Linked DNA regions of Canis lupus familiaris. Each later gene encodes a partner of the first gene's protein in a complex. Links are inferred from orthologs where the notes say so. Each region holds a gene or a part of one and is shown on either strand. Other genes may lie near its edges.

What was found. The genes of interacting proteins can lie anywhere in the genome.
Region 2: TRIM21 (region 1) and SKP2 share a complex: the UniProt entries of both Homo sapiens proteins name them as parts of the SCF(SKP2)-like complex. The link is inferred for Canis lupus familiaris from reciprocal best matches to the Homo sapiens genes TRIM21 and SKP2.

The regions. Positions count from the first base shown.
Region 1 is NC_049242.1:26,906,692-26,911,227, reverse strand, and holds the start of TRIM21 (E3 ubiquitin-protein ligase TRIM21), read left to right. Parts: upstream 1-1,470; 5' UTR 1,471-1,589; intron 1,590-2,601; 5' UTR 2,602-2,648; coding exon 2,649-3,056; intron 3,057-3,543; coding exon 3,544-3,669; intron 3,670-4,536. UniProt on the Homo sapiens protein: E3 ubiquitin-protein ligase whose activity is dependent on E2 enzymes, UBE2D1, UBE2D2, UBE2E1 and UBE2E2.
Region 2 is NC_049225.1:73,293,433-73,298,064, forward strand, and holds the start of SKP2 (S-phase kinase-associated protein 2), read right to left. Parts: upstream 3,218-4,632; 5' UTR 2,995-3,217; coding exon 2,951-2,994; intron 2,462-2,950; coding exon 2,190-2,461; intron 1-2,189. UniProt on the Homo sapiens protein: Substrate recognition component of a SCF (SKP1-CUL1-F-box protein) E3 ubiquitin-protein ligase complex which mediates the ubiquitination and subsequent proteasomal degradation of target proteins involved in cell cycle progression, signal transduction and transcription.

The DNA.
Region 1 (4,536 bases):
TATAGGTCTCTTCTTCCTTTGATTTTTTTTTGTACTGTTTCCACTTTGCTTTCTGGGACTATGTTCCTGGAATCAAATCAGTACAGTGATACAATTTGAATATTAGAGGTCACTTGATAACCACCCACTTACAAATTCTCTTAAAAACAGAACTGGAAATTTGAAAGAAAGATGAAGTATCTTTAGGTTTCCTAAATCTATAGAAAACATTAAGCAAAGTTCAACTGATGTTTTTATCTTAAGGTATACAGGGACAAAAATAAATATGTCTGAGTCGGAAGGAATTGAGAATTCTAGTCTCCTCACCCTTCCTTGTTTCTCCTTCCTCCTCACAGTCTCTGCTTGAGTTGACAGGGCAGCCTGTTATCTCTGGGCTGTCACTAAAATGACGGTCTTCCCTAGACCTTTAACTCTCATGCACCTCTTACTATGTCTCAAGTCATTTTACTCCATTCAGACTCAATGCCCTCTCCTGGAATGTGAGTTTAACATCTCCTAAATCACTAAATCGTTATGTGGCTTAAATATGTAACCTGACACAGTAACAGTATTCACAAGAGTCAAAAGATGGAAGTCACCCAAGTGTCCATTCACAGATGAGTGGATAAACAAAATGCATATACAAACACTGGAACATTATCCAGCCTTTAAAAGGAAGGAAACCCTGTCACATGCTTGTACAACATGGATGAACCTTGAGGACCTTTTAAGTGAAATAAGTCACAAAACAACAAATACTATATGATTCCACTTACGTTGGGGGCACCTAAAGAAGTCAAATTCGTAGAGACAGAAAATTGAATGTAGCTGCTGGGTGCTGAGGGAACATACTGTTTAACAGGCAACAGAATTTCAGTTTGGCAAGATGAAACAAGTCGTATGAGTGGTGCGGATGGGGATACAATGATGTGAATGCATTTAATGCCACTGAACTATATACTTAAAAATTGTTACAATGGTAAATTTTGTTACATATGTTTTACCATAATTTAAAAAAAAAAAAAAAGAAAACCTCAGAAAATCCCTAGCTCAGTGACAAGTACACCGTTGGTGCCTAATAAATGTCAATTCTCTTCTTACCATTCACTGGTATGACACCTGCCTTGGGATCGTGCTGTACATAAATCCCTCACCAGCTGATGTTAAAAGACTATCAAGCCTTTCCTGAAAAGGACTTGTTTCTGGAAGCAGAGGGTGACACGTAAGGGAGAGCCCCAGGCACGTTGTCGCCATCCCACCCTCCCTAACTCCCTGAGAGCAGCTCCCACTCGTGGGCGTCGCCCAGCACGTAGGTGTGGAGCGAGACGACCAGTGTCCGAGGAGGCAGCGTGACCCCTCCACCGTGGATGCGATATTTTCTTGTTTGACCCCGAGGACCTGGGAGGGGACGCGAAGCAAGGACTTGACGCTGCGGAGCTCGGACTTCCTGCCGCCTGGGGCTCCCGAGCTGCCCCGCCTGCTCCCCCGCCCCTCGCGCCTCCCTCTCCTCCCACTCCCCGCCCCTCGGCCCACCCCCTTCGGACACGCCTCGACGGGAAATCGAAAGTGAAATAGGGAGCCTGCCGCCGGCTGCCGAAAGCCCTGAAAAGGTGAGTGACTCGCCCCGACCCGAGTGCCCCCGCCCTGGCTGGGGGACCTCTCTCCCCTGCCCCATCTAGTCCTCGCCCCTGGGGCCTGCAGACCCGGTTCCCCCAGGGCTAGCCCAGCCCCAGCCCCAGTCCCAGCCCCAGTCCCAGCCCCAGCCCCAGCAGTTCCTCCCGGGCTGGCAGCCTGCCTGGGACGGGGCCCCAAATGTGAACGTGACACCCAAGCCCCCGGGGGCGCTGCCCTAAGCGGGGGGCACCGGGGCAGAAACCTAGCCCAGCCCGGAGTGTAGTCCGGGCACTCCCCTCGACACTTCTCCTCTGGGGGTGAGAGGGGGCAGGACAGTTTCAGACGCTAGAAACCTGTGGGTCTGTGCCCCAGAGGCAATGAAGCCAGCTACCAGGTTCCCAGAAGGGAGAGGAGAGCCCAGGGAGTGCTCAGGCACTGTTCATGTGCGCATATAAACATATACAGGTACCCATATGCACACATATACCTGCAGGTATATATACATACAGACAGATATGTAGAAATATATTCTTATGTATATAATCACAGATATAGAAGTAACTCCTGTGATTATTGTGCAGATAATGAAGATATTTCCAAAGCAGGTAGCACCTTCTCTGGCTTATGGAGTGTACAGAGTACATGGTCCCTGTCATACAGATGAGCTGCTCAGCAGCGGACTGGTGACCTGAGAGGGCAGAGAGTGGACAGGAAAAGCCTGGGACAGAGGATGAAGCAGAGAGGGCCATGATGAAAATAGAGTTATAAACAGCTTTATCTCTGAAGTTCTCAACAACATTCAGTTTCTTTGGGGGACTCAGTTTCCCCTTCTGTCTGACTAGGTAAGTGGATGAGACTAGAGAGGAGAAGCTCTTATTATTCAAGTTAATGTTCTGGTGTTGTTTTCACCCCTTCCACTTCACTGTTCCTTGTGTTTTCCTTTGGATTGTTTTTCTTCTCACACAACCCTTCTCTTCTGCTCATTTCCCTCTCTCCTCTCCCCACCAGGGTACCCCAGGATCTCCACAGTGCTGCTTACTAAGAACATCACCCCTATGGCTGCAGCAATGCCCTTGGCAATGATGTGGGAGGAGGTCACATGCCCTATCTGCCTGGATCCTGTAGTGGAGCCTATGAGCATTGACTGTGGCCACAGCTTCTGCCACAAATGCATCTCTGAGGTGGGGAAAGATGGTGGCGGCGTCTGTCCTGTGTGTCAGCACACCTTCTTGCTCCGAAACCTCCGGCCCAATTGGCCACTGGCTAACGTGGTGGACAACCTTAAACAAATTGGCCAGAATGCCAATGAAGTCACACAGAGGGAATGGTGTCAGGTACATGGAGAGAGACTGCACCTGTTCTGTGAGGAAGATGGGAAGATCCTCTGCTGGGTATGTTCCCAGTCCCAGAACCACCGTAACCACAAAACGGTCCCTGTCGAGGAGGCTGCTCAGGAATACCAGGTAAGGACTTAGCACAGAGGCCTGACCAAGTAGAAGGGAGCTGGGTCCGTGCTTGGGGTTTTGTTCTCCAGAGTGAGGGAGGCAAAGTCACCTGTGGAGTTTCAGGGTTGGGAAAAGGAAGGGGTTTCCCACCTTCCAGGTCTAATTGAAGCAGAGAACTGCAAGCTCAGGACAGCTTTCTCATTCCCCAGGACCAGGGAGTACGCTTGGGAAAACGCTGCAAGGATCACACTTCCTTGTGGCCTTCTGGTTAATTAGGAATGAGGAATGCTCCAACTCCACACCACCACCTCCAACAGCGTGGCTGTGTTTTGAAAGAAACCTCAGGCTCTTGCCAAAGTCTTCCCATCCCCAGAATCTCTATCCCAATCAGACTGTAGTCTTCCCTCTTTCTCTGCACTCAAGTTTTTCAAAGAACCAGCATGTCTTCATGGCGCCTCACCCTACTTCTTGGACTGGTCGGGCGCTAACCTACCTTTCTCTGCAGGAGAAGCTTAAGGTGGCATTAAGGAAACTGAGAAAAGAACAAAAGTTGGCTGAGGAGTTGGAAGTGAATACTGCAATGAAGAGAGCAGCCTGGAAGGCAAGTGTTGTGCTCCAAAGGGAATCTCAGGTCAGAAGCCAGGGCAGAGTCCAGGGCCCCAGACTCAAACCCTAAGCATAGCTATGCCCATCTGAGGAGTGATAATATATCTCACTCACCATGAACCAGCTGTCCTCTAGGTCTCTTGATAGAGGTGAATAAAAAGGAGAGAGCTCAGATCAGATAGCAAAATCAAGAGTCTTAGGAGAAGGTGCCATACCCTTCGGAGAGGTACAAGCCATACCCTAAAGCTCCTGCTCCTTAAGCCTAGTCTTAAAACATGACGGCACCTTTGCCTCCATGTCTGGTCAGTGGTCTCTCAGGAGAGATGCCCAATGGCTAGGCCTGTCAGGAGGTACAGACTTAAGGGAACAATCCAGGTCAGACATAGGCAACTATCTGGTCATGCTGGTTTTTCTGACTGTGTTCAGATCACTGGTCCAAAGTAGGATGGAGAATAAAGCTTGTTCTGTATCTATAAGGGCATGGAGGGAACTCATGGCCAATAGAGCCCAGAAAGGAAGATTTGGGATCAGAGAAGGGTGAGTCAGGCTGTGGTGGCAAAAGGACTCATCCTGTGCCATCGGTGACCTTCCAGTCACTAACAGAAGAGCAGCCAAGATTATCCCCAAAACTCCTTTTCCTCAGGCCTGGGGAACAGTGTTATGAGCCTGTGTTTGGATGGTTGTTGGGGTGGGGACAGGTGTTACTCTCTCAGGAACTCACTAAGATATGAAGACAGATTTGGGCACATCGAGGTGCAGACTGGGTTTTGAAAGAGGCTGTAGAAAGTCGATAACATAGGTCAATGCAGCTGTGGTTGTAGGACAGCCCCAGTGTGCCCCACCATAATCCCATTTCACTCTTAGCCCAGAAGCCTCACCCACTTCCTGCTCT
Region 2 (4,632 bases), on another chromosome or scaffold:
TGGGCTGAAGGCAGCGCTAAACCGCTGAGCCACCCAGGGATCTCCTAACATTAAGTTCTGAAGAAAAAAAAAAAAAAAAAAACTACACTAACAAGGTCAGGCTAACTGGATTAAAGACAAAAGAAAAAGTGAAGTAGCTTCCCAAATGTGTGTCAGAAATTTTGTTGACCAAATTAACTAGGTTTATTTATTGTGTTATGAGCACACAGCATACTAAGAGCTTCATGTGCATTTTTTAACTTAATCTTCACACCAACCCATGAAGTGGGTATTATTATTCCATTTCACAAGAGAAACGAAGACACAGAGAGTTCATATAACTTCCCATGGCTGGTAAACAGCATAATTAGGATGTAACGTCAGATCCATCTGACTTCACCACAATCCTTTATTGCCTAATTAATTCACCCCCTCTCCTGATATAGATTTCCAGATCATAACCTGCCGGTTCTCTTTTCCAGTGAAAAAGTCAAAACCCAGAAACAATAGTTTTGTTTTTTTTTTTTAAAGCAACCAACCAACCCTTCTTCAAAGAAAGTCTGGTGGGAGAACTGAGGAATATACTTATTACCGTGGCTCTGCAAGACTTCATCTTAATTTCTTTTAATCTGCCTCTTATTCTTCCCCTATCACCCACCCAATTCCTGTTTAGGGTCCGATCGCCTCCTCTACAGACGACTTCAATAGCCTCCTGATTCTGTCAACTCTAATGTCAGAATCCATCCTTTTAACAAATCTCTAAGCTTCTATGCGTGACCCCCCTATAGTTTAATCCATACACATCAGTGTGTCCTTTTAACAGATGACATCACAAATCTGCTCAACACCACCTCTAGCCCTATCTCCCACTGCTCTCCCTTTTGCTCAGTCTGCATATGGCTTCCTTCTTCCTTGAGCAAACATGACATGTTTTTGCACCAGGGTCTTTGCACTGCCTTTGTCCTCTGCTTAGAGCCCTCTTCTCCAAGATATTTGCGTGGCACATTCCTCACACCTCCTGTATGCTTTTGCTTAAAAAGCTTGTGTCTAAGTGAGGCTATCCCTTAATATCTCTTAGTGAGGTTTAAAGTTGTAAACCATCTTCCAACCCCAGGACTTCCAATCCCTCTTGGCTTGTTCTCTACTTGTTTTTGGCCACAGTATTTACCACCTTCTTAACATATTATACACCACATTTATTATGTTTATTGCATCCCCCCTCTCAAACAGAAGCTTCATGAGAGCAGGAATGCTTATGTTTTGTTCCCTGCCTTATCCCCAACACATAGAACGATGCCTCCCACATAGCATGTGCTCAGCAAATATTTGCTGGATTAATGTTTTAAATGACTTACTGGCAAGAAAAACTGATAACCCTAAGTCATTGCACTGTGTTTACCCTATGGCTTTTGTACTCTTCGGATTCTGATCCACTCTGGGAGATACTCAATGACATGTCTGAGAAGCCTGGGGAAATGATATGGTGAGTTCTACATCTGAGTCAGTTCACTCTAGCTCTGGGGATGGATCAGGGGAGGATAAGACTGGAATTATGAGTCCATGCCAATATTCAGGCAAGAGATAATGAGAGTATGAAAAACATCTAGGAGACAAGAGGGAAACATTCAATGATTGGTTGGGGGCTGGAAGATGGTGGGAAGGGACTGGCCCTCAGGTTTCTGGCTGGGTGACTGAACAGATAATGTGGGCAGTAATGGAGACAGATCAAACCAGAAAAATCCCACTTGGGAGGTCCGAGGGATATAAGGCCCTACTCCTAGTTTAACATTCACGTTAGTAGTCCTTTGACAAATAACTAAAGCAATTATGGCAACAAACTCAACTGAAGCTACAGAGCAACGGAATATAAATAACAAAAATCCTACAAGATTATTGCTTATGTTCCCATTTAACAATGGCACTGAGCTGGCCTTTGAACACGCAGATTCCCTTCAAAGGGAAGGAGGCAGGAAGATCTTCTGGGTTAAAATTTCACATGGGTTAAAAGTCAATTGTGCACCTGGAAAATATATACCTACCAAGATTCCTGTAGATTTCAGTGACAAAGGGTTGTCCCATTGCTTTGGAAATCGACTTCAGAAGTAGGCAATTTTAAAAGCGTGCCATCCTAAAGATCGCTTAACAAAGATTAGCAATAAATAGTTCAGTCCACTTCTTAAGTGACCGACAGTTTTACCCTCATACCTTACCTGGAAAGCTGTCTCGATTTAGCTTAGGCCTGCGGACTATGACAAAGTCCTTGTCATTCCCCTTGCTTTTCAGCCGTTTTCGGGGCGGGCTCTGAGGGTGGCCCAGATTTGAGAGCAGTTCCTGGGGGATATTCTCACTGTCCACCTCCTCCTTCTCCAGAGCAGAGACCCCCATGCCCGACAGCAGTTCAGAAGTCTTACTAGAATCCCATCCCCACGTGAAGCTGGTGGTAACGTTGCTACTCTGGTCTGGAATCTCCTGGAGGTGTTTCCTGCAGAAATGCACAACAGCCCCGGTTTCTTTCAAAAACACACCCGTAAATAATTCAAAGATAGGCCTACATGAAACTCTAAGTTATGCAATGCAGAAAACTTTAAGAATTGCATTTTTTTTTAAAGTGCCGGCGGCGAGTTTCCAAGAAGGAAAAAAAGAAAATAACCGAACAAATCAAAAAGGCTTTTTGATTTACGATCACGGAGAAGGCCTCAAGAATGTCTTAAAGTGGAGGGAACAGACAAGCGGGGGGGGGAGGACGGGGGGGGGGCAAACGTACACCGGCAGGAAAGCTCAATAAGGGAAGGCAAAAACCGCACGCTGATCACCGCACTAAAGCATCCGGCCCCCCACACTTTCCCAAAGAAGGGGCTGAGCAACGATTCAATTACAACATTCACAACAGTATTAGCGCGTAGCAATATTCGCGGCCTAAAAGAATTGAGGCGGTTCATTCACTCTCAGCCCCCTTTTGCAATCGGTTTACCTATGCATGGCGTCCACAGCTTCTGGAGTTTTAAACGCGTGCATTAATTGCAGAACTGCACGCCTCCGGGATTCCCGCTTTGGCGCGCGGCGGCTCAAGGCGTGCAGCTCCGACCCCCAGCAGCGAGACCCGCGAACTCTAGCAACGTTCCATCCTCGCCGCGCGCGCGAGGGCTCTTCTACTCGCCCTCCGCCGCCGCCGCCGCCGCCGTCGGCCGCCCCGCTGCCTGCCGGGAACTGTAGTTTCCGTCTTGCCTCGTAGTCCCGCCGGCTCTGCGCGACGTCCTTCCTCGGCTGACTTTACCCGCCTCGGAGATACCCACAAGCCCCCGCGCCCGCGAGGCGGGGCCGTCCACGCGGTAGGCGGGGAAGCGGAAGTGGGCGGCGCTCCGGCTGCCTGGGAAATGTCAGCCGCCTGACTGGGGACGGATTTTCCTTACCCCGGAGCCTGCAGGCCTTTCTAGTGGTCGTCACCGCCGTCGCCCCGGATCGCCGGTCGCAGGTCCGGGACGGCTGTGGCGGACGCGGGGTTCCCGGTCCTTGTGCGGACGCTGTCTGGCCTGATGGGGAGGGCGTGAGCCCTGTGGGGTCTGCGGTCTGAGGCCGGGCGCTGGCGGAGATCGAGAGGACCTCGGAGACCCCGAGCCGCCGCCGCCGCCGCCACCGCGGGCCTTCGTTCCCGGCCACCGAGTGGAGGCGGCAGCCCGGTCCGCCGGCCAGGTGAGACGATGAGGGCCGCGGGCGTCCCACTTGCGCCCCCCCGCCCCCCCCCCGCCGCCGCCGCCGCCGCCGCGAAGCTGCTTCCTCCATCTGGGAGATAGTGACCCTTAGCACTGCGGGTCACCAGGTGCCTGTTCTGTAGGCACTACGGCTCCGAGGTTCCTCCCGAGAACACGCCTGACGTGAGGGGCAGATTACGCTTGTGGAAGCGCTTTGTAAACTAAAGCGCGGTTGGAAGGAGAGGCGGTGGCTTAATTTTAGGGGAGCAGGAGAACACGGCGGTTGCCACGGTGTGCGGTGGGACAGCTGCGCAGCCCCCTGGCAGCCCAGACGAGCTTGGGAACAGCTAAGGGGACGGTCGGTAGGTCTGTGAGGGCCGTGGAGCGCCACGCTCGGGGCCGCTGGGCTGCTCGCGCTCCGCCGACGACGTCCGGCGGCGTCGCCGTCTGAAAGGCGAGCTGCTGCGAGCCTGTCGCCGCCCGGGAGAGCCTGGGGGCGGCCAGAGCAGGGAGTGTGCCGCATTCCAGGTCGGATGACCGTGCGAAATCCACAAACGGTGACCCCTGGAGAACAGTGGAAGGGAGAGGGGAATAAATTCCAACCTTCAATTAAAAAAAATTAAAAAAAAAAAAAAAGGAGAGGATTGATCAAGTTCAGAAGTAAGCAGAGCCCTCTGCTAAGTCATCACAAAAATAGAGTATTGCTTGAGCATGCAGTACGACAATACCTTCAAGAACCAGTGTGAAAAAAAATAATAATAAAAAATAAATAACCAGTGTGACAGACCATTAAAAATGATTCCCTTTTTGCTGGAATTAAACCTCTCTTGCCCAGGTATGTGCTGGTTTCAGGCTCGGTGCTTGGTGCTTGGCTTGAAAAGTGACCAATTCTCGATTAAGCTATTCACGAACCTTTAGTTGTTTTGTTTTGTTTTTGTTGTTGTTTTTGTTTTTCTTGAAAATA